Lonchura striata: one gene and its partner. The protein of the gene in region 2 purifies or fractionates together with the protein of the main gene of each other region. This does not show direct contact. Links are inferred from orthologs where the notes say so. Each region holds a gene or a part of one and is shown on either strand. Other genes may lie near its edges.

What was found.
Region 1: the proteins of JAZF1 (region 2) and NR2C2 purify together in Homo sapiens (affinity purification with mass spectrometry; 4 studies listed by BioGRID and IntAct, with this or other methods). This does not show direct contact. The link is inferred for Lonchura striata from reciprocal best matches to the Homo sapiens genes JAZF1 and NR2C2.

What each region holds. Positions count from the first base shown.
Region 1 is NC_134614.1:24,152,038-24,164,883, forward strand, and holds the start of NR2C2 (nuclear receptor subfamily 2 group C member 2), read right to left. Parts: upstream 5,377-12,846; 5' UTR 5,095-5,376; intron 4,961-5,094; exon of another isoform or gene 4,679-4,960; intron 4,563-4,678; exon of another isoform or gene 4,295-4,562; intron 1,949-4,294; exon of another isoform or gene 1,865-1,948; intron 593-1,864; exon of another isoform or gene 1-592. UniProt on the Homo sapiens protein: Orphan nuclear receptor that can act as a repressor or activator of transcription.
Region 2 is NC_134603.1:122,869,237-122,881,547, reverse strand, and holds the start of JAZF1 (juxtaposed with another zinc finger protein 1), read right to left. Parts: upstream 5,658-12,311; 5' UTR 5,552-5,657; coding exon 5,437-5,551; intron 1-5,436. UniProt on the Homo sapiens protein: Acts as a transcriptional corepressor of orphan nuclear receptor NR2C2. Inhibits expression of the gluconeogenesis enzyme PCK2 through inhibition of NR2C2 activity.

The DNA of each region.
Region 1 (12,846 bases), on a different chromosome or scaffold from region 2:
AAAAGTGATACCAATATAGGTAAAGCTGCTAATATTTGCATTAGGTCATCCGGTTGCAACTTCTCTCACAGTTCATAACCTGAAATTCAATGCATCATCAATGACCCGCTTCTTCCATTTAATTTTCATCAATTAAAAATATGATATTCCGAAAGTCTCTCATTTTCTAAAGCCAGTGCCAAGTTTGATTCTACATTTTCTCTAATATATGGTGAGTACAAATATAGAATTCTAGCATATTTAAAGAAAACTAGTTATGTATTTACCTGTATTGAAAACTGACAGAAAAACACAAATAGCAGGCAGCCAGCCATTCATACAGAAATGATTCAGTATTAACATGGTCATAGTAGTAATGAATTCCTAACGAGATAATGCTGCTTACAACTGGTTTTCCATGAATAACATTTTCATGGTGTTACACAGTGGACAGGCATATAATTTAAGCAGTGGCTGAATACTATAAAGAGATGAAGCCCTCTATTTACCCACCGGCCAGGAAGAAATCACAGAGCTTCATACACTCTTGAGATGGAGCAATCTCTCCAGTGGCATGATACAACCATCACACTATGTTACCACGGTGCATTTCCTGCACGAGGAATTACAAATGTCATATATTTTATGTGCTTGAGATGTTATTACAGCACCCAACCTCTACCAAAATAAAGTTTGTCGGTATTTCCATTACAAGTTTCTCTTTCCAAATATATTTGGAAGTGTTTTTTAAAAATGCATCTTACCAAATTTATACCTGGTACAGAAAACTAGTGTAAAAGATCTCTTGTTGGTTTTCACTGTGAAACTTAGGAAGTTTTGTGAAACTATTCCATAGATGTTAATTCCAGGACACTGACTAGGCCATTTTCCATGCTAAAAAGAATGAAATTTCTTTTTCAAAAATGTACTTCTAACTAGGGAATCTCAAATCCACTTCTAAAAATAGAATTAAACTTATGTTTTCTACTTATATAGGATGACTTTTTGAACTAAAAATATTTTTAATATACAGTTGTAATCTTAGCTCAATAGGTGAAAGAAAACTCCAAACTAATGACTGAAAAGTGGCCTCTTCTACAGAGGTCTCTCAGCCCACTTGCCCTTTATTATTTATTAAATCCCTTAATTACGTAACCATACGAAAAATCACAGTAAACTTCAAGGATACTAAACAAAGTAATTTTAATCAGACAAAAGATCTAGTTTATTTTTTGACTGAAATTTGCATAGCGAGGGAGATAAATTATTTTCTATGGCCATGAACACTTGCAGTTTGTGTTTATGAGTTGATTTAAACGTTTTAGCTGTTGAGCATCCAAGCTTCAATGGATATGCATCAAGCCATCACTTAATATCCCTTTAAGTAGGTTTTGTGCTTTTTTTCTTTAAGCGTAGGCAGAAAATATAAAAACTGATTTAAGGTAACCAGCTTGCTGTAAATTCACTATAGTGCATAAGTAAAACAGGTAACTTCAAATACTGTGGTGGATCTAGATTACAATTCCAATTAGATGCAGAAGCTTTCCATGTCCCAAATGGTCAATCTAAGGATTAAATGACAAGAAATTTTGCTGTATTAAGTTTTTAAACAATTCATAATACAGCCAAGTTTCTCTATAGCTCATGTTGAACTTTCTACTTGCATTCTTCATATTCTTCATATGGGGGCCACCAGAACAAAGTAGGGTGAACAAAATGTGTCCCAGTTGCACTGGTTTCATGCTTGTCCCCAAGTGTAAAGCAGCACTTTTCTTTAAAGATCTTCTGTTCCATTTATGCTTAATTGCAAACAGCGGAACTCCCTAATAAGTTTTTAATTTCAAAATCTCATATACCAACTCTTGTGATATCATCTGTCACTCACCTCAGCCACCTGCTGAGTCTCCACTACCTGCTGAGCCAGCACCTCCATATTGGTTGCCATGGTGAAACAAGACCATTAGAGAACCTGTTTGGAAAGATGCCAGCAACTTCCATCAGGCACAAAAGTTTGGGATCTTTCTTAGTATTAAAGAAAGCTCTGCTACGACTTTTTGAAAATTTACAATTCTGCTTGAAATATCTGGCAAATAAGAGAAGATGCCATTGATGTGTGTGTGTGCACATATACATACACACACACACATATACATATATGGGACATGCATATTGGAACCATGCTGTTCAAACTGCTGAGGTACAGTTGTTCTTTTACTTTATTAAGCCTCTAATATACTCTTTCCACTCTGTTATTTAAGCTGTAAAAAAGAGATGTGAATTTCATAAATGAGAAAGGACTAATTTCAAAGTCAAGTACTAATGCAGTTTGTGCAATTCATAGATCTCAAAGTCACTTTCTTCAGCTCAGGCAGGAGATGCCTTGCCACATGCTGAACCAGGGAGCAGCAAGCTAAGAATGCTGTTTGGCGTAGAATTTCATTGAGTCGTTCCATCAAATCACCACGTTCATCCATATTCTTAAGAGTAATCTTACACAATAAGGGAAATAAACAGTTACATCTAAAATGTATCTTCCATTATTTAAACTATTTCTTTATTATAATGTGATACTATTGTCACAATGAGAAGAAAATACTGCAATAATTTTATCCTATTCCAAGTAATTCCACCTTCAACTTCAGGGGTTAAAAAAATTACAAAGAAATCAAAGACAAAGAAACAATTATAAACCACTTTCAATGTATTTTTAATTATCATTATTAGGGGTATATTTCTTCAAAGTTAAATTTAATTAAGATTTTCAATTAATGCATTCAGTTTTTAATTGTGACTTGCTAATTACAGGGCTAGATTTCAGATTCTAATCCAAGTGTAGGTAATCAAAAGGCATTCCTGAAGGCAGGCTCATTTGATGTTTCATTGGAAACCTCCTTAAAATTGCAAAGCAGTCATTTAATATAAATTTTAAAAATAAAACAAACAATAGCAACACAGATAACAGAAAAATGTATGCATGTCTCTACCACTCATTCAAATGTAACTTCTACAAAGTTAACATTGTTAAATATGTCAGAATTTGTTACATTAAATGGATTCACTTATATTGCGACAAATGTGAAAATAATTTTGTATATGTCAAGTAAAGATTATTTGTAATAATGCATAATCAAACTTGAGACATCCCCATGGAATTTGTATTTACACTAGGTTCTCCTAGAGCTTGTCATTATTTTATTGAAGTATTGCACTTGATTAAGACTATGAACCATTTCCACCAAACTCAGCTTATGGATGGTTTCTTAGTTGTTCAATGGTTCCTTTTCAGTGTTTCCTCTTTTTTTTTTTTAATATTCAGCAAGAAGCACAAGAAGCATAATTATATGCTCATAATATACTGTTTGCTTAGCGCTTTATGACAGAAGCCCTTCAGATGAGATACTTTGTTCATAACAGTACCTTTCTGAGACACAAAACACAAGTGTTTGCAATAGAGTGAGTCTGACAGATATGCTATTGTTGGTGTTACCACCAAGGCTTTTTGTACTTTCAACCTTCATAGAAGAACCTTAAGCTGAAGCTATCTGATCAAATCCCGCTTTGAGCACAGAGACTATACACAGCCACAAGCTTCTTAATGGTGTCAGCTCTCAGAAGGCAAAATCAGCTTCCTAGCCAAAGCCCCGAGCAACAGTTTGTAAGGCAGCCACAACAAAAGCCCCCAAACCAACACAAGAGGTGAAATTTTAAAAACTAGGAAGAAGCACCTTGAGCACCAGGAAATTATTTTCAGCATAATAGGGTGGCAGCCAGCTTAGTATACATTGTCCAAAACACAGCGTAGAATCACTAGTGTTTCCCTAAGCTGCAGCGCAACCTCAGAAGCAAGTCATAAATTCTACTTGAGAGGTTCTAAGGGTATGGCTCTACTGACAAGACACGGCAAAAGGCCGCATTCAAACTTAGTGAAATTTGTTCCTTTGTCTTAATGAAACGAGGTTCTTTACGCTGAGTCCGACTCGGCTACACCAAGCGGCCTCTAGCAGGCTGCCATCGGCAGGACGGGCGAGAAGCGGGTACAGCCCTGTCGGCAGTCTCCCGTATATTGTCCAGGCAGCAGGAAGCCGGCCCACACCCGGACACCGCCGGCCGCCGGCCCACAACCCGACACCGCCGGCCGAGCAGGAGCACCGCGAGCGGCGCCGGCATCGCTCCGACCCCGGCCAGGCCGCGCCGGGCCTGCCGCGCCCCCATTGGCTGAGCCACGCGCGCCGCACCCTCATTGGCTGCGCCACGCCCCATCCGCCGCTGAAGAGCCTTCGACAGCTCCCCGCGGCGCGTCGTCGAGCCACGCCCCTGGCCCGACCAATGACCTCAGGACAGGCGCAGCGCTCCCCCGCAGATCGCCCATTGGCCGAGCCACCCGCTTGTAACAGCGGCGGTACCGCCCCTCGAGCAGAGGGAGAGCCCCCCGGGGATTCACTGAGCACAAGATGGCGGTGCTGGCCGTCCGCCAGAGCCCAGGCGGGGCTGCTGCCGCCGCCATTAGGCCCCTTCCCTTCCCCTCCGGTACAGCTTTGTATCCGCCTAGAGGAGACCCAGGCATGGCAGTGTGGAAGCGGCCGGTAAGATGGCGGCGGTTTCAGCCCCGTATGCAAAGTACCCGCCGCCCCCTCCCCTCCGCCCTCCCGGTGGCAAAGGTAAAAGGGTCGGGTTCAAGCCGCCGCCTCCGCCCGCTCAGACTCCATCTTCTGCCTCTGTGTGTCCCGCGCTCGTCATCACCGCGACCATCGCCCTACACCCCTTGGACAGCAGACTTTGCTCACCGCGACCGGACCAGCCCCGACCTCAGCCGGCCCACGCTGCAAACAGCGGCTCCGGCACCAGACTGCCTCGCCGATCGACCCAGCACGCCACAGTGGTCGTTTCCTCTTTCCAGGAGCTGTAGACCAGGCCAGACCACGGCTGGTGCTCGCTTACCAGACAAATACCGGAGCCGTGCAATCCCCCTCCCCTAAACCCACCGTCACCCCACCCCTCCCCTCGCGGGGGTGTCCAGAGTAGGGCCCGCTGCCGCCTCCCCGCGCCCCCTCCCTCGTCCTGGCCCCCACGAAACAAACCCACCAGGCCGCTTCAATTTTAAAAAATGTTTTTTACCTCAGGAATGGGCGCCAAAGGTGCAGTGGCGGTGACCCGACCGGGCCCGGGCAGGCCGGTGCCCAGCAGCGGCCCTCCCTCCCCCCGCGGGGGCTGCAAGGGGCTGTGGGGCCCGCGGAGGGGAGGGGGCCGGGGCTGTGTTGGGGTCGGGGGTGTTTTGTTATGTGTGCCGTGCCCTGTGACAGGTCAGAGTTCGTGACCCCACCGCCGCCGCCCGGTAGCGCGGTCCCGCTTCCTCTTCCAGCGCCAGCCCGGCCGCGGCCCCTCCATCCCCCGCGGGGCGGGGCCGGCGACGGGGAGGGGCTACCGGGCTACCTGGGCCTTCCGAGCCCTGCACCGCTCCGGCCGTGCCGGGGACGTGCCGGGAGGACCCTGGCCTCCGGCGCAGCGAGGGGAAGGTACGTTCACCGCCTTTGTTCCTCTCGCTCGGGAGGCTCCTCAGGAGCTGGCAGCCCGAGGTAGCGGGTTGGCGGTGGCTGTCCAGTGCGCTGATGGTATTGATGTTACAGGTGTACCTTGGTTCTCGCTGACGATACAATCAAAGGTGGGCTCACAGTAGAGCAAGCTCTCACAAACGCCACCGCCAGACTGTCGAGTTTTTATTTAATTTTGTAAATTCATTGATTAGGGCTCTTACGGCAAAGCTTGCTGTGAGGTATGTTGTGCCTTCAAATACACAATGATAGGCACGAAACAGGTTCGGGTGTAGCTGAGGTGGTGTAGGAATTTACCACGTTTCAGTGCTTGTCTTCTCACAGGCTAACAGATGTTCACCCCTTGTCATAACTAGCTACTTCTTAACCTACTCTCATCAAAATGTTTTTAATGCTTCTAGTAGGTTTCCCTTGAGTCTTACAATTTTTACAGAAGCTAATTTAAGAAGCAGTTCGATTAATAAGATAACGCCTGAAACAAAACGGAAGACCTACCAGTTGAATGCAACAATCACAGAAACGAGGGGTTGTTGACTTAATAGTTACAAAGTCAATATAATGATTTTTTTTTTTTTGGAAGATTGTAGTTTTTTCTTAGAAATGGCTCTTTGAGGTAAGGGTATGATTAATGTACTAGACCTATGAATTACAGTCTTACTTTCACAGAACAAGAATTATTAAAGCATGTGATGTGCAGATGTGTTTGCAATACACAAATAAAGGAAAATGCTTCAAAAATGTCTTCATTGTGGGTGTTCACTACTGTAGGGTAAAATAGATGAAGAATTTTCAAATTCTCAAAAAATGGATTTGTGCATACCTTTAGAAGCAGATTTTTTTCTTTTAACTTCATAAAATATACTATAAAAGTGTGATTGAATACATGGAAAATGCTAAAGCTAAATATGAATGGCTGCTTCCCCATCCCCCCCCCCCCCAGTATTTCCTGATGGGCAAGTTGAGGAAAGGTTTAGAAGGCAGGAGGGTTTGTTTCCTCCATCTTCCTTGTTTCTGCAACCAGGAGGTAGTTTTGCAGCAGTTTTACTCTGAGCTCTGGTGGAGAGCAATCATATTTGCTGTACAGCTCCACCGCTGAAGAAAGCTGCATTAACATTGTGACAAATTTCACTGTGGTTTTTGCAACAATTTCAATGAAGTTTAGAACTACCATGTATGCTCTTGACTTATTAAATAAGCAAGATTGTATTAGATAATGGTGAAATTTGCTAAATTTATATCCACAGCTATATAAAGGAGTGTTAGTAAAAACTGCTTTTTTGCTTTAGCTATGACTGAAGAGAAATTAATAGACTATGCCAGAGATTAAAAACATCAAAGAGAACTGAGATTACAAGTCAAGGTTAATAACTAGACTGGCAGCAAAGAAAATAGTTATATTTATCTACCGCACTGTGGTGAGCTGACTGGATTGCAGCCACATGATAACCCAGTCACTCACTTTCCCCATCTCTTCTCTAGCAGGATGGGGAGAAAAATGACATGAAAAAGCTCATAGGTCAAGATAAAGACTGAGCAATCAACAATTACTGTCGTGGGCAAAGCAGACTTGGGGGAAATATGTCTAACTGCCGGTTAAAATGGATGTGGATGGTGAGAAAATCAAAAACGAAAATACCACCTTCTGTAGCCACCGCTTTCTGCCAAGTGTAATTTCACCCCTCTCCCATCCAGCCCTCAGGGGGTGGGGGATTCCAGCCGGCACACATCAGCTCCTGCTTGCCCTTCTGCTCCTCATGGAGGGCTGCTGTCCTCATCCCGCAGGTCCTGCCGGGAGGGCGAGCTGCACCGAGAGCTGCCCTCCTCAGGGCTGCTCTCCCCACGGAGCACGGTCTGCCCCCCTCACGGGACAGCGAGCTGCCCCCCTCACGGTACAGCGGGCTGCTCTCCCCACGGAGCACGGTCTGCCCCCCTCACGGTACAGCGGGCTGCTCTCCCCACGGAGCACGGTCTGCCCCCCTCACGGGACAGCGGGCTGCTCTCCCCACGGAGCACGGTCTGCCCCCCTCACGGGACAGCGGGCTGCTCTCCCCACGGAGCACGGTCTGCCCCCCTCACGGGACAGCGGGCTGCTCTCCCCACGGAGCACGGTCTGCTCCCCTCACGGGACAGCGAGCTGCCCCCCTCACGGTACAGCGGGCTGCTCTCCCCACGGAGCACGGTCTGCCCCCCTCACGGTACAGCGGGCTGCTCTCCCCACGGAGCACGGTCTGCCCCCCTCACGGTACAGCGGGCTGCTCTCCCCACGGAGCACGGTCTGCCCCCCTCACGGGACAGCGGGCTGCTCTCCCCACGGAGCACGGTCTGCCCCCCTCACGGGACAGCGGGCTGCTCTCCCCACGGAGCACGGTCTGCCCCCCTCACGGGACAGCGGGCTGCTCTCCCCACGGAGCACGGTCTGCTCCCCTCACGGGACAGCGAGCTGCCCCCCTCACGGTACAGCGGGCTGCTCTCCCCACGGAGCACGGTCTGCCCCCCTCACGGGACAGCGGGCTGCTCTCCCCACGGAGCACGGTCTGCCCCCCTCACGGGACAGCGGGCTGCTCTCCCCACGGAGCACGGTCTGCCCCCCTCACGGTACAGCGGGCTGCTCTCCCCACGGAGCACGGTCTGCCCCCCTCACGGGACAGCGGGCTGCTCTCCCCACGGAGCACGGTCTGCCCCCCTCACGGGACAGCGGGCTGCTCTCCCCACGGAGCACGGTCTGCCCCCCTCACGGGACAGCGGGCTGCTCTCCCCACGGAGCACGGTCTGCCCCCTTCACGGGACAGCGAGCTGCCCCCCTCACGGGACAGCGGGCTGCTCTCCCCACGGAGCACGGTCTGTCCCCCTCACGGGACAGCGGGCTGCTCTCCCCACGGAGCACGGTCTGCCCCCCTCACGGGACAGCGAGCTGCCCCCCTCACGGGACAGCGGGCTGCTCTCCCCACGGAGCACGGTCTGCCCCCCTCACGGGACAGCGGGCTCCTCTCCCCACGGAGCACGGTCTGCCCCCCTCACGGGACAGCGGGCTGCTCTCCCCACGGAGCACGGTCTGCCCCCCTCACGGGACAGCGAGCTGCCCCCCTCACGGGACAGCGGGCTGCTCTCCCCACGGAGCACGGTCTGCCCCCCTCACGGGACAGCGGGCTGCTCTCCCCACGGGACAGCGGGCTACTCTCCCCACGGAGCACGTGTTGGCCCGAGGGGGCCTCTCCTCAGGCCGCAGTTCCTGCCTGGAAAGAATGAACTGCTCCCAGCCTTAGCTGAGAAAGGATTTAAGTGCTGGTCAATTTCAAACGCACCTGCTGCTAAGTACGTTGTAGCTCCTCCCATTAAGTAGGATAGTTGCCTTAGAAGAAAAAAATATGCTGCAAAGCTGCCACACAAAAAGAGAAGGAAAGAGACCCTGTGGAAATTATTCCCTGCCCAGGAGAACAGACTAAATTCCCTATGGAATAAAGGTAAGATGTGCGTTACTTGCAGGGAGGGAACGAGGCTCTAGGCATGGAAGGAGAGGACCTCTACAATGAATGTGTGGGCTGCAAGAGGCCAAAGCTCTCTCTCTGGCTATGGTGGTGGCAGTAAAATTACATAATGGACTAAGAGGGATCAAAACTTGGGGCATGCCAAATAATATAAAATACAAATATGGTTTGAGGTTATTCATGCGTTTTGAATATTTGGGATAAATAGTACTGTAGAGCTCAGTTGTTTGGGGTTCTTTTAAGTTCTATTTTCAGTTGCTTTCCAGAATATTTTCTGGAACTTCCAAGGTAAATTGTCAGAGCCGAGCCAATACTTAGTATGGAAGAAATCAACCATTACAAGTGACTGACAAGGTTTTAATAGAACTGTTTGGTATTGTTAATGCCACATTCAATTTAAATCTCTCTTTTAAGTGTTAGCAGATGATTTTTAAAGTATGAATCCTCATGCCTTTCATTTGGGTTTGTACATGGCTGGGCAGTGCAGAGGAAAGCTGGTGCCCTCCATCAAGTGGGAGGTTTTCCCTCATTTCTCCATGTTTGTCTCTTTATTAGTAAAAGTGAGTTTGCTGTCTGCTGTAGGTTTTCTTGACTGCAGAAAAATATCACTACATAAAATTATTAAGGTTGGGAAAGACCTTCATGATCATCAAGTTTTACCTTTCACCTCATACCACAATTCCCTGGAGTCTGGAAACTTTCTTGTCAAAATGTGATGAAAAGTGATGTTACAGTGTTACCTAGGCTGAAGAATCACAGCTTTTAATACGCAGTTTTATTCCTAAGTTATTTGTGGAGTTAGACTAGTGTTTTTTCTCTCAGTATTTAAAGGAATACATTTTCTCCTCACTGAATATTGTCTCTTTCTTTCACCTTCACAAGCACGGATATTCATGTACTGTTGTTACAGCCAACATAGTTTTTACTGCTTTTATATCAAAGCAGCATGCAAATAGGAAAGCCTCATTGGTATTCATAGCTGTGTGGTAAAAGCAGCAGAGAACTAGCTCAGAAAGGGTAGCAGTCCAAGGTCTTGACGAGCAGTGCTTGTGTGAGTGGTATAGTCCATCTCCAAATGACTTGTACTTTGATTTAGAAGAAAAAATTAATAACTGTTTAAAAACCAGATTTTAACTAGGCGTATACCATAACACAGGTCTAAATATTATTTGCAAATAATAACTAATAAACTTAATGCTTTTTAATAAATCAATTAAACAGAAAAACTCTGAAACAACATATGGGAGAAGCTTGATCCCAGGTGTTGGCTGAGCAGCTTGAACCTTGTGACTTGCTACTAAATTTTTTTATCATATTTGTGAAGACATGGAACAAAATTTTTGTTTTGAAGGAGTAATACTAGCTAGAAATTAGTATGAAAAAGCTGTGTAAGTAAATGTCAGCTGAATATGTACCTCTATTTTAATATGTTAGCATTTTCTAAAAGGTGATTACTGGGTTAACTCTGAAATAAATATTTCTGTCTGTGGTGCTTAGCTTTGCTCAGATTCAGTTAACAGCAGGATTGAAATTGTGAGGACATTTTCTTTAATTTTTTTTTCTCTTTATGCTGCATTGAGACCATTTGTATCTGTAACTGAAGTCAAGATGAAGTAAAACAGATAGGGTTTCTAGAAGATAAATCAGTGTGATTGAAGCACATCATCATACCAATTAGGTCTAAATCCTGTTTCTACCAGAAGGCCTCCAGTACCATCTTCTGATGCTTTTCCTTATTTGTCAGAGAACTGCTTAACAGGCAAGTGTCTCTAACAGTAACTGGAACTGCAGGGTTGGAGTCAAAGGTAGTAATGGTGTAAAGGAAAAGCCTGTAGAACTGCAGTTATGTTTTGCTCTTTTATTTCTCTACATTACTTAAACCAATGTTTAATAGCACTGTATCTTATTTTTTACAACAAAATATTTTCATGTTCATTTCCTGCTTCTAACTGAAAGCTTCATACAACAGTCACTACATGTCAGCACCTGAATCTTCATAATATTGTCATTCTGTAGTGCAGTTTTGTTTTGTTTCAGACCGTAGTTAGAGATCTTACTCTGTATTCGATGTTGTCTTATTTTTCTTGTCAGTGCAAAATGTTTTCAAGGGGAGATTTACAGTGTATTGGTAGCAAGGCTATGTCTCTTACATGAAACAAAGTTAAGCTTGCTGTTCATCCATTAACTAAAGAATACAGAAGTTTTATTTTTCTCATTCTTGGTTTCTGTTTGCACATGATAATATATGCTTAATGGAATGGTCAGACTCAGGTGTATCAAAAAAAAAACCCCCAAAATGACCTTTGTATTTAGTGGTAGATGTTTCTCTAAACTTGTTTATTCAGGTGATAAACTGATCTACCTTACCATTTGGATATATATTGTAGACCTTTAAAATATGGACAATTCTAAAAAATTTGTTAGGGTCAGAAATTCAGATCTCCATTAAGTTCCTTGAAGAAAGTGAAAAATAAATGTAATAAAAATTCCCACCAATATAATTTAATGCAAGTAAATTCTTGAGCGTGTTATTTTTATACAAAGATATATTTTAATCATAGATGTCATTCTGTTCCTCAGTTAAATATTATGACTGAGGACAAAACCACTGTGTTGCAATGATTAGAACATCACCTCTCAGTCATCTTTATAAAAACTCCCACCCAAAACATTAAAATACCCCACTGCAACAACAATAACCAAAACAAGAAAACCAAACCAAACAAACAAGAAAAACAAAACAAACCCCACACCCCCCAAAAAAATTAAAACAAAAACAACCCACACAACAACAACAAAAAAAACCCAACAAAACACCCCCCAAACTCTAGAGATCTATATCCTCAGCTGATGTAAAGCACCACAGCAGTCTGACATAGGACAGGTGTGGCCACAGGAGTTCCAAGTGACTCCAGCAGAGCAGGTTTAGAAAAGTGCATTTCAGTCCACCCACCATATTTCAAATGCTGTACTGGTTATGTGGATTAAACTTTTGATGACATTTTTCATAACAAGAACCACAGAAATAACAGGAATTTTGGTATTAAAGATACAGTATTTAAATAGATAATAAAAGTCTTAACACTGCTAGGTAGATGTGTTAAATAAAAACTGTAGTTTTATAATAAATTAAAAATAACCTTTGAGTTTGAGTCTGAAGTATTTAGAGAGATAATTCAGCATCTGGATCTGTAGAGCTACTTGAGTGCATTTCAAAGTACTGCAGTGATACAAAACTAAACCTTTAACATAAATTATACGGTGATTTGTGTAAAATTATAATTGTTAGTAAGTAACTATGTTGGATCATGGTCAGTGAAGTGTTGGTAAACCAGGTAAATCGAAGGTGTTTTTACTTCATTTTCTGTGGAAACAATTTAGCATACGCGGGGCATAATTTCATGCTGGCACCTGTTAATGGATGAGTAATCAGGCCAGAGAACTCCTTAGAAACATGAAGAAAATGAAGCTGTAGTTCAATAAAAAATGATAAAGTGCTTTAAATGATCATTTGTTGTTTACTGCATTGTTTCTCATGTCACAATAGACATCAAAATCAACCCAATGAAATATGATAGTAGTCTGGAATAAGTAAAACTGAGTCTGTTACTTACTATAGTCAATATTTCCATGTATTTTCTGTTCTTGACGTTAGACTTAGGTTACTGTGGGATCAGAAGAGAAGCTTATAGTGCAGGCTGAACTTGCACAGACATAAAGGTCACTATAAATAATTTCTTATCTTGAAATTTTCATTTGCAACAATGAGTATGTAAGAAGGAGGAAGAAAAAGAGCAAGCTGGAAACAGTTCAGATCCAGTGTGTGTGGCCAG
Region 2 (12,311 bases):
CGTTCACACTCTTGTGAAGATCTCAGCTTGAAGTGAACACAACCTGTCACACAGACTTAGGTTTTCCAGGCCTTGTGTAGATGCTGGTGCGTAGCCCCTCATCCTCATCAGCTGCATCTTCTTATGCTTGTTTTACACAACATGCAGTCAGCTCCAATATAGAAGATGCCACCTCGGTCAGACTGCACTTCATCCAAGTCTGGGCGACACAGCAGCAGAAAGCAAAGCCCACCATATTTTAGCAACACCAAATGATATTTTAGCATGTGCTCACAGCCAGAGTATCATTCAACACCTGTAACTATCAAGGTGAGAACACCACACTTATTAGCATGCCTGAGAAAATATTGAAAGTAACAACTTTAAGAAAGCTACATTCACTCAGCCAATGGCTTATCCAGCTACTTGAGCTCTTTGCTGGGGAATCTGGCCCTTTGACTGCATAATATTAAGAACTTAACTCACTAAAGGCAGCAGATGTCAAAGCTACCACCAGACATGGAAATTCCTAAGACTCTTTCTCCCTCCATATGACCTGAACTTTCCAGATGGGTAGTATTTTATATGGAAGGTTTTGTTCTGTCTTCTGCAATTATTCTTTTATGGAGGAAGTTTTATTTTTCTTTCTAATCTTACCACTTACAAAAGCAGCTGCCTCTGCTCTCACAGCAGGTCCTGTTCTGTTGCAGGACCCATCCTAGTACTTGGGAATTAGTCAAGCTTGATGAAAAGCTCCCAGTTCCAACAGCAACACTATAAAAATACTCCTCTGAAAGCTGTCCAGCACTGGGACTTCTTGCAAAGCTATAATGAATGTTCAGAAACAGCTGATCACCTTTTTTTGTGCAATTACTGCAAAAGTAGATGGTAATTTTTTCCTCCCTTCAAATTCTAGTAGTTTCAGTGAAATACAATTATCAAACTTTTATAGGTAAGAGTGTCATCAGATTTATGTTTTGTATCTCTTTCTATCCACTCTTTCACCTCTTCTAGCCCACCATCACATGTTTGGATACTCATTCATTTACATCTATTTCCTCAATGCTTGATGAGCCTCAGGAGAAGCATGATTGCTCCTATCAACCAAAGATGTACACAGGCACATACACTGTGTCAGCATTTACCATGAGCCAAGTGGCCACATAATGCCTCATACAAACAGCAACCTCATCTGATTTTAAAGTATTTTACTACAAATACCATGCAAAAATTAAAATAAATAAATGTTGTCAAATTCTGATGAAGAGATTCAGTCTAAATATTGGTCCTTCAGCATCAGAGTAAACTTCATTTTAGCAACTAAGGAGCTACCTGACTCCACTCTAAAGAGTGCAGTTTAACTGCAGATAGACTGAGGGAGAAACAAATTGGAGGAAATTCTACGAACAGCTCAAAATGCCCCAGAAGAGTAAAGTATATTTTCAGACACACTCTGTGGAAGCAGCTGTGCTGGTCCCAACATCATAGCTGAAGACACTACGGGACTGCAGAAATACAATGAAGTTTGCCATGCTGTCACAGCTGAGTATTTGGCAGTTCAGAATTGGTGGGTTTGGGGGTCTTTTTGCTCCTCTCTTGATATTACTGAGGGGAGTTGAGTCCATTCCATTTGACAGTCTGAACCTGTCTAATTGTAGTATATTTGGCCTTTTTCTCATGGGCAAGGGATGTCAGAAAAGTTAACCAAACTACCTGCAAGGGGTCAGAGCAGACAAAACTGAGAGGCAGGGAGACAGCCTAGCAAGGCAGGCCAAAAGCCCCCCTGCTCAGCACACTTGCAGAGAAGGTAACAGCACTTCAGGTTGCTTGGACAACGTGCTTGTAGAAAAAGCTGACAGAGAAGCATTTACAAATCAGCAGTTTTAAATCAACATCCATTTCCAGCTGTGAGCCACAGAAAATGTGAACACACTGTTTAGTAGTATTGCTACAGACTGCAGAATACAGTCTCATTGCAGAGGACACCAGCAGGGCCTGATCTGCCTTATGAAAGACCCCAGAGCAGTGTTTCTGAGTGAGCCGAATTCTTCACAAGTTTTTGATCTAAAATGCAAAACCCAAAAAGCAGTTATGTGTTGATGCACACACAGCACCACCTCAGAGTTGAATACTTCATCCAATGGCCGTAACTCTCCCAGATGATATGCACTGATACTTTTTCAAGTAACCACTAACTTCCACCACCACTGTACAGTAAATGATTTCATTTAAAATGATTATTCATTAGTTTTATAAGCAAAAAAATCAGCTGCAGGGTTGCTCAGAAATGCCTCCAGAATACCACAGCAGTGTTTCACAGAATGACAGGACTGGTAAGACTGGAAGGGACTACAGTGGGTCATCTTAAGCAGGGTCATCCTAGAGCACATGGCACAGGATTGCATCCAGATGTTTCCTGAGTATCTCCAGTGAGGGACACTCCACAATCACTCCAGGCAACTTGTTCCAGTGAGTAGGTTCCCACATGATAAAGAAGTACTTCCTCAGGTTCAGGTGAAAATTCTGGTGCATCATTTTCTTCCCACTATCTCTTTTCCTATTTCCTTATGCTAAGCTGAGTTTTTTGCCAAAGGCTGACCAAAAAAAAAACCAAAACAAAAACCTCCCTTGATTAAATGTTTGTTTCCACTTTTCAGATACACAGTACAGCTCTGAGAAACAACCACAGTCCTATGAGTGCTCCACTGACGATGTGAACGATTAACCCATCCCGTGAGACATGGCAGAGCAGCAGCACTGCAGCAGCCAGCCCACCTAGAGCCTGTGCCGTATACACCTCCCCACACACAGCTGTTTGCAGCATCAAGTTTGTTACCTGCGCTGAAACACCGTCTGCCCAGCCATCACCCACTTCAGTTTAAACTAATAATGCAATATAACTCAATCAAGTTTTCTTTATTCCTGTAGCACATGCTGAATGTCCAAAGCAATCTATTTTTATGTGGCATGTTACTCTTTGCTCCATATACCAAAAAATACAGTCAATTTTTATAGCAACACATTTCAGTGCACATTTGTAGGCCTGTATGACGGCAAAAGCTGGACACTGTTTGCATTATCTTCCTGAAAAAGTAATTCCAACATAAACTCCTCTTCAGACATTCAGTCCTTTATTTCCCAGTTGCTTTCAGAAAGGTTAATCACCTTTTGGCTGAGCACTTAACTTGGCGAGTTTTCATAGATTATCATCCTTTAGGCTGTGATAGGAGTTCCTTGAACACACCAAACCCCAGAGTTGAAGCTTCACATGGGAACTTCAGTGTCACTGGTTCAACTCCCTACTGACTTTCTCAGTCTCTCATACAGGTAATATAACATTGCCACATCCTCTATTCACAAGCAGGTGAAGTTCAACCTGCTGTCATGTAGAGGTGAAACATTACAAATAAAGCATGAACAACTTTGTCATACCCCAGCAGTTTGTACTCAAATCGGCAGCTTCTGTTTGCAGAGCTTCCATTTGCAGAGCCTCAGGTCTATGTCCTGGAAGCCTTGGCAAAAGACACACTCTATTAAACATGTGCATGCACAATCCATAGCTCTCTTTGAGATAAGGTAAAATTAATGAATGCTGGCTATAGCATTAAATACAAAATTAATTATTTTTAAATTACAGTATTTCAACATAAAGTTCCCTTCTGTGTGAAGAAGTCTCAGAACTGCTGATCGGGACTCAAACAGCAATGCACAGACCACATGCGCAGGGCTGTATCTTGTCTGACACACTGTGGGCTGTGGCACCTAAGGGCTGATAATCCACTCAAGAGGCGCATAAAATGACTTATGAACTTTCATTTTGGGGAACTATTTCCTGTAAGCTTTTCTGGTGTAATGTGATGGCACGGTCTAAGAAAAGCTAAGGATACGAGATTAAAAAAAACCCGACAATAGCACAATGGTATACCTGCACAATGTCGAGTCATAAATTATACAGTTTTGTGGTATGTGGTTTTGTTACCTCATACTAGGTATCGTGGTAATTATGAGAACCACACCTTTCATCTTGCTGACCTTTAACGCTACATTAACGTAACGTTACATTCGCAATTTGAGCTTCAGTGATTTTTCAGGTATTCAGGCAGGCTTATTAAAACTTCAATAAACTGAAATGCATGCTACCTTCAACGTTTTGTAGCAGCACTATTTCTTCATACTTCTAGCTAAACACTCAGTCCCCTAGGTACTTGAAACTTCTGTATTTTTTAAAACTTAAGTCTGAGTCAAAGAAGTACCTCGTTTTTTGATAGTTTAAGCGCTGTATTTTACTAACAAAAAGAGAAAGTCGGGAAGATGCAGACGGGAAGCAAGCAGCGCAGCAGCCAAAGCAGCACACCTGCCGAGGCGGGGAGGCGGCGGTGCCGCGCCCGGCTGCGGACGAGATGCTGCTGCCGGCAGACCTTGCGCTCCAGCACGCCCGAGGCCCGGCCGGGGCGGGCAGGCCGGTCCCGCCGGAGAGGGCTGAGGGAAAGTTGGCGCCCGCGGCCGGCCGGGAGCCGCGCCGCCCCCTCCTCCCTTGGGCGCCGCCCGCGCCGCCGAGGGGCGGCCCCGGCGCCCCTGCGCACGCTCCCGCCCGCCGCCCATGAGGCGCCCGCGCCGGGAAGGCACTGACGAGTCATCGCCCCGCCGCGTCCCCGCCCCCGCGGCCCTGGCGGGACGGGCGGCGGAGCGGAGCACGGGGCGGCGGCTGCGGCGGGAGCCCGCAGGTGCTGCTCCGGCGCGGCCGGGCCTGGGCTCTGCGGTTCAGGGCGGCGGGTCCTACCCGGCGCGGCCGCCTTCTCCTCCCGCCCGCCCGCCCGGCCCCGGGGGCTGCGCCGGCCCCGCCGCCGGGCGCTCCCTCCACGCCCACCGCGCCGCCGACCCCGGGCTCCTGCACGCCGGTGCCTCTCCACCGAGAGGCTCCTCCCGCGCTGCGGCGGCCGGAGCGCGACCCGCGCTCCCCGCCACACCTAGCAACGGCGCTGACAGGACGCAGTGTCGGCGGCGGGAGGAGGAGGAGGAGGAAGCGGAATGGCTGCCGCGGCGGCGGCTCCCTCCCTCCCCGGAGCCCTGACAGCCAGAGCCGGGGCGGAAGCAGCAGGCGGCGTGCTGTGCCCGTCCTCCTCCCTCCTCCTCCACCGCCTCCTCCTCCGGGCTCCTGCGCTCCCTCCTGCCAATGCAAACTAACTCCCCCTCGCCAGGGCCGGCGGGCTGCACGCCTCCCCCGCACCCACCCATGCCGCCGCGCCGCACGCCGCCACCTCCCCGAAGAGCGCTCCACGTCGCCCGCAGGACCCGCTCCTGCCACTCCACGCCCGCCGACCCTCCTCCCCCGGCGGCCGCCGCGCCCCGGCTCCCGCTGCACCTTGTGCCCCCCACCCCGCCCCGCGCCGCCGCCGCACACGCGGCCCCCGCGCACCCCGCCCGCCCTGCCCCAGCCGCGGCCCCGCGGGCACTCACCGATGTGGTTGTCCTCGATGTGCTCGATGAGCTCTGCCAGGGTTGGGAAGTGGAGCCCGCAGCCCCCGAACCTGCAGGCGTTAGAGAAGAAGGAGGCGGCGGCGATGCCTGTCATGGTGTTACATCGAGATCCCCCTGCGGTGCCTGCTCTGCCAGGGCCGGCGGCGGCAGGGCGGGGAGAGGCGGGGGCAGGGGGGGAACGGGACGGAGAGAGAGATGGGGAGCGAGAGAGAGGGTGGGGGTGGGGAGGAGGAGGTGGCGGCGGCGGCGGCAGCAGCAGCGTCGGGAGCGGCGGAGGGGAGGGACGGGCTGGGTGGGGGGAGATGAGGCAGCCGCAGCTGGGAGGAGGGACCAGCGCGGCTCTGTAACAGCTGTGCTGCCCCGGCGGCGGCCGCCGGCGGCGGGAGGAGCAGGGCACCCGCGCCGCCCTCCGCCGCCGGGGGACACCGCGCCGCCTCGTCCGGCTCCGCGCGGGGCCGGGGGGAGCGGGGAGAACTTTCCCTCTCAGCCTCTCGGAGGCAGCGGCGGGGCTGGGGTCTGCTCCTGCGGCCGGCGGGGCGAGAGGAGATGCTCCGGGGTCGTTGCTGGGGCCGGGAAGGTGGCGCCCGCCCCGGAGGGCTCACCCACCGCCGGGAGTTGGCTCCTAACGCGGCCGTCACCTCCACCCTGCCGGGGCGGGGAGCAACCAGCCCTCGCCGAGGTCGCTAAACTGATGGGCGGTCGTTCCTTCCCCAAGGGGGGCCGAGGCCGCCGAACACAACCTTCACCTGCTCGGCGTCGAGCCGCAGGCCCCGGGCACCTGCTGGAAGTACCGCGGTGCCCCCGGCACCGGGTGGGCTACGGTCTCCCTTCCCCCGGAGCTGGGGTGTGAGACTGCGGCCCTGGGGAGAAAAGTTAAACAGGAGTCGCACACACATCGCTCCCAAATCCTATTTTGTCTCCAGAAAGCTATTCAGCAGAGAGGCTGACTGATTAATTGATTTTAATGAAGGTCTCCCTAGGCTCAAATTCGCAGACAGCTTTATTTAAAATTAAAAGAAAAGAAAAAAAAAAAAAAACAGATCGCTTGTCAGGAAGGCTCTCCTTCCCCCCTCCCCCCTTCTTCTGTTTTATATTAATATTTTTTCTATAATTGCAAGAGTCTACAACATTGTTAATAGTTTTGAGCAAAAGTGGGGCTAAAAAAAGTCTCAGAATCTGCATGAGACTGAATTGTATGGACACAAGTGGTTCTGCTGATCCTGCTGACAGATTACAGTCCCAAGGTGTTATCTCTGTAAAATCAACCGTGTGCACAAGAATAAGCCTAGCCCTTGCATATCTTGTTACCTGTATTGCAGATAAGGATGTTCTCAATGTTGCTGTGGGAGACAAAGAATAGCAAATCCTAAAAATGCAGTAGAATGGTTAGTGAATGAAAAAAATTAGTGTTTGTCTATTTCCTTAAAGGATGAAAACTCTTGGAGCTAGTTCCTAGTATCCTATATACCAGAGAACCCATCATTTGTGTTGAGAAAACAAGCTTTATCTTGCATTTTATTGTAGTAATTTTCTTAGGTGTTCACTATAATATTTTTGTGATGTTTTGCCCTCATCCAGTTGTATTTTTCTAGATGTATAAACCCACTCATTTTAGTTTGCATCAAAGCAAAGACAAAGCCTTTCCAGAAAAATACCATGTGGAGAGAAAACACTCCATCCAAGCTGGAGTTTGTAAATGGAGTTCTCATAGCCATGAGATGCTGAAACATAGAACTATTACACTTAAAAAAATAATAGTAGCATGGACACATAATAGTCCACAGTATGTTTTTAAGGTTCACTGTGGTCAACATATAGTTTAGAAGGTTGGAAGACTGCTGTTTTGAAGCATCTCATGGAAAGAAATAAATCTTTTGAATAATACAGAGGCACATCTGTCATTCGGTCCACCTGTTTCAAGCCTAGCTACTTTACATTTTACTATTTTTCTAATTTCTCCACTGTCTTTCTGGTGTAAGCAAAGGAATTTGTTCACTGTGAGTTGACTCAATGAAGGAGGAGTTTTTCCCATCTAAGATGGTCATTCTGGAAACTCATGCCACACAAGCTGCTGTCATGAATAATACCACTAAGTCAGGTTTGTGGAAGTGCCCTTGTAACCAAGACATAAACAAACAAATAGTGAATGTGGAAGAGAAGGGAAAAGGGAAGATAAGCATCTTCCCCAATAAATTGCAAGTTTAGAGACTAATTGTAGAATCAAACACCTAGGCCTTTTAAATGTACAAGTAAACATTGTCTTGGTGCCATTTACCAGCATAATTCAAATAGAAAGTTTCTAAGGCAGTAAATCAAGATTAATCAGAATGAGTATTAAATATAAGAATTTCACATGGCTAATCTAACAAGGTCAACAAATTTGTGGTTTAGTCTGTTATGAAACAAAATTGTGATGGATATTGTGTTGTTATCAAAAACTTTTAATAGCTATTAACAAAGACATTGGTCACCTACAAAGAAATCAAAGTACGTCTGTAATGACTGACAAGTAATAAACATTATGGTTAACCACCTGCTAGTAACATACAATGTAATGATTGCTTTCTGATGTGTGAACTTGTCCAGTTACCTGCAGGTCTCTTTTCATTAATTGTTTGCTAAACTCTCAGGAATTTTGTGGCCCTTTGAGGTAGAGAGAGAGCTTAACTCTTGCAGCAGCCAAGAAGAGCTGGAAAGCCAGGGTGTCCCATAGGGATTCCATTCATTATCTTTTGATGAAATGACTTCTATTCCATAGGGACTGTTTTTGTACATATTCAACTTTGATGGCTTCAGTAGAAGTTAGAATAATTAAACCACTTCATATGTTGTTTATGTTGTTTCCTATGATTTAAAAACTTGGAACACTCTCCCTATTTTTCCATACTAGAAGGTATTTCTTCCCTACACAATAAAGGAGTTTCTGCCCCTGGTTTTGATGTCCAGGCTCATGACAGACAGGCATGAACAGACACAGTGAAGAATGCCCCCAAAATTAACTCTTCCCATCACTGATTTACTGTTGTCATCATGTTACCATCTATGTATTACAGACAAAATTCATTATGTCCTGATAATAAGTGGTGCTTGTACAAAGAACACCCACTCTTCCTCATGTATTTGTTGTTTTTCTCTAATACCTGGGAGGTGGAGTAATTTTACCAAACTTCTTATCAGAAGTTTATCTGATCCAGTATGTTTTGAAGTTCTTTATTATGAATGATCACAGTGTGAAGAGTGTTGTTCGTCACGGGTCAGTGTTGGGACTGGCACTGTCTGACGTCTTTGTTGGCAACAAGGGATTGAGGGCACCTTCAGCAAGTTTGCCAATGACACACTGGAGGGAAAGTTCACCAGCTAGAGGGACCTTGACAGGCTTGGGAGGTGGGCCTGTGCATTCCTGAGGGAGGCCAGCAAGGCCAAGTGCAAGGTTCTGCATATGGATCAGGGAGATGCCAGGCACAGATACAGTCTAGGGAGAGACTGGATTGCAAACAGCCCTGCTGAGAAGGACTTGAGAGTGTTGGTGGATGAGAAATCTGACATGACCTGGCAAGGTGCACTTCATCCCAGAAAACCAAACTTGTCCTGGGCTGCATCCTGCGTGGAGACCCCACGGGTTGATTCTCTGTCTTTACTCTGCTCTCATGTCCTTGCCTGGAGGACTGCATCCAGCTCTGGAACCCACAACATAAGAAGGATGTAGACCTGTTGGAACAAGTGCAGAAGAAGGCCACAAAGATGGTCAGAGGGCTGGAGCACCTCTCCTTTGAAGTTAAGCTGGAAGTTGGGGCAGTGCAGCCTGGAGAAGAGAAGGCTTTGGAAACACCTTTCAGTGCCTAAAAGGGGTCTGTAAGAAGGTTGAAGTGGGGCTTTTGACAAGGGCATGCACTAATAGCACAAGGAGTGGTGGCTTTAGACTGAAGAGGGTAGGTTTATTTTAGGTATTAGAAAGGAATTCTTTACTCTGAGTGTGGTGAGACACTGGCACAGGTTGCCCAGGGAAGTTGTTGGGATGCCCCATCTCTGGAAGTGTTCAAGATCATGTTGGATAAGTCTTTGAGCAACCAGTTCCAGTGGAAGATGTCCTTGCCCATTTCAGAGAGAGATCTTTAGGGTCCCTTACTACCCAAACCATTCTGTGATTGTATGGGCATTTTCTTATTCAGGCTTTATTAGGATAGAGAACTCGTGTATCCGTATGACAAACTGCCAAAGTACTCAGAAGCTGCCTTGTCATTTTGTGGGAGAAATAAATGGAAATTAGGCCCAAGTGATCTGTCAAGCCAGAGCAATTTAGTGGGTAGATAAATTTCAGAGGTGTTAATAGCTATTGTAAAGGATAAATGGATCCTACTTCGAACAGCTGGTAGGACCATGTTTTATTTGTTTTTGAAGAAGTTATTTTGAAGACCCCCTAAGACCCTTAGTTTAACAATAATTCCATCTTGGGCAGATTCTTGGGCACAGCTGAGAGCAGGACTCCATGTGAGAAGGGTGTGCTGCTACTCAGACCTTCTGTACAAGGCTGAGGGCTGATTAACTGAGTAGATTTCTAGATCATCCAGTTACCTGCTTTAAAATGCATGTGTTAAGACTTCATCTTTTCTTCACTAACTTACTATCTTTGTGCCTCACTTTAAGTCTATTTTATAGAGTAAGGAACATGTTTAGAGAACTTTAATTCTGTTCTACCTTATACTGATTTATTGTCTTGGACACCTTATCTCCTTAAATAGTCTGGCTCTTAGACCCTTTTCAATGCCTTTTGACTGCTGCTCTTTCTAATAAACAATTTTAACTAGAAACTTAGCAGTTCAATTGTGGTAATCAACTGCTGTAACTACTGGGCCTTATCTATGGGTAGGTTACCACCAGCCACTCATACTGGATTCCCAAAAGCCAATTATTCTGTCCTAATACTTTCTGAAGGCTAGAGGTCTGAATCTGAAAATCTTAGTAGTTGTTACACTTGGTGCTTTGAGGGTGATAAGATTTTTATTGAAGACACCAGCACCCATTTAAATATTAAGGAAAAAGTCAATACTTTCTTCAGAGTCCCATTTAAAGCATAGTTTAAGTACTTGTTTTCTGCTGTACTTATAATAGTGACAACAGAAATCTATGAAATTTTTTTAAATTACTCTTTTAAAACTATATGTTCTGACACTTACACTGCTGAAGTCATATTTGAAAATATCTACTTAAAGAAATAATAAACCAAGGGCAATAGGATATTGCAAAGAAATTATTGGCATCACTTTCCCTTAAAAAAATACTGGTTCATTCTTCAATAACATTTTTAATAATTTTCTTTCTGCTTGCCTCTGCATACTGGCCATTATCAGAAATGTCACACATTTTGTGAAGATTTCATAACAAAGACATATAACTGCTGCAAAATAATTACACAAATAAACCATATTTTCACTGCTGCAAAATAATTACACAAGTAAACCATGTTTATGCAGTTTGTGTCACAAGAATCCTATTTTTAATTTATACTGCTGAATTAGTTTTCTCTTGGCAGTGTACTGTATAGCTTCAGGGTGCAATGGAAATACAAAATGTTGGGAAAACACTGTATTCCCCACTAGTTCCAGATGCCCCAAAACAATAGATAGAATTCCTGCTTAGTTTAACTTTCTGAGAGACTTCACATTTTCAGAGGACAAAGCTTTAGATAAACAGGAGATCAAACTGCTTCTGTATTTCCAGTTACCTGTAGCCTATAAAAAAGAAAATTTTCTTGTTTTAACTACTTCAGAAAATTTGAAACCAACATGATGTTATATCATATATTACTATTACTTTGTTAGTCTGCCCTGGAATTATAAAATGCCGGCTATTTCAATAGTCTCTTGTAAGAGCCCACAGTTACATATGTATTAAATAACCTACTCTCTTCTTACTGTGGATTATAGTGGAATATTTTGCCAAAATCTTATGTGTTGTTTCACTCAGACAATTTGGAATAATTAGCATGTCTATTTTAAAATAACTGGCTAGAAAAGAAATGCAGTTTTGTAAATTTATCTAAATGAAAGGTAAACTTGTTCTTTAATGAAGATTAGTGGTATAGAATGAAGCTTTCATTTTAATAGCTTTTGCAGTGTCTTAAAACTGCAGAAATCTATAATTTTTAATTTTTTACTTTTTCCACTTTTACTTCCTAAATTGAGTCCTCAAGTTGTAACCAGATTTCATGTCATCTGCTGACATCATAATTTGCAAAGTCAAATAAAAAAGACAAATACTTTCCAAAGTATACTGAGATTATAATATCATTTTTACATGCACACAAAAAACCCGTTAAGTTAGAATAAGCTTTTCTTAGTGTTCTTTCTTTGGAGTAGAAATGTCATTACAAATGACAGAGCATCAAACTCTGTTATCCTCTGGCCCTGATGATAATTTTTGATGCTCTAGTTACAAGGTGGTTTAAAGCAATTATAAGGCTATAACTTACATCAGTGATCTGGAGTCCAAAGACATGGGACACAAATCCCATGTGATTTTTGTGCTATGTCACACTGTTCTTCCTTTTCACCTATTCCTCTGCCCCAAATCAAAGTTTACTTAAGAAAATCCAAGTCCTTCATTTCTGGATTTCCCAGTCCCAGGGAGCTGTGCATTTTAGAGCCTGCTAATTCAGAACAGATTCGCTTCTGTATAGCCTGAAAATTCCCCTTTTAAAAATTCTTCACTGAGCCAGGAATACTGGTGACAGGGAGAATTAGGTTGGAGAAACCCTGGTGTTCAAACAGTAATTTACTCAGAGAATTCTCCATCTTCTTAAAAGGCAATCCTCTTCTCATTCTTAAGTTAGGTGGGGGAAAAGAAGGGTTTGGCAT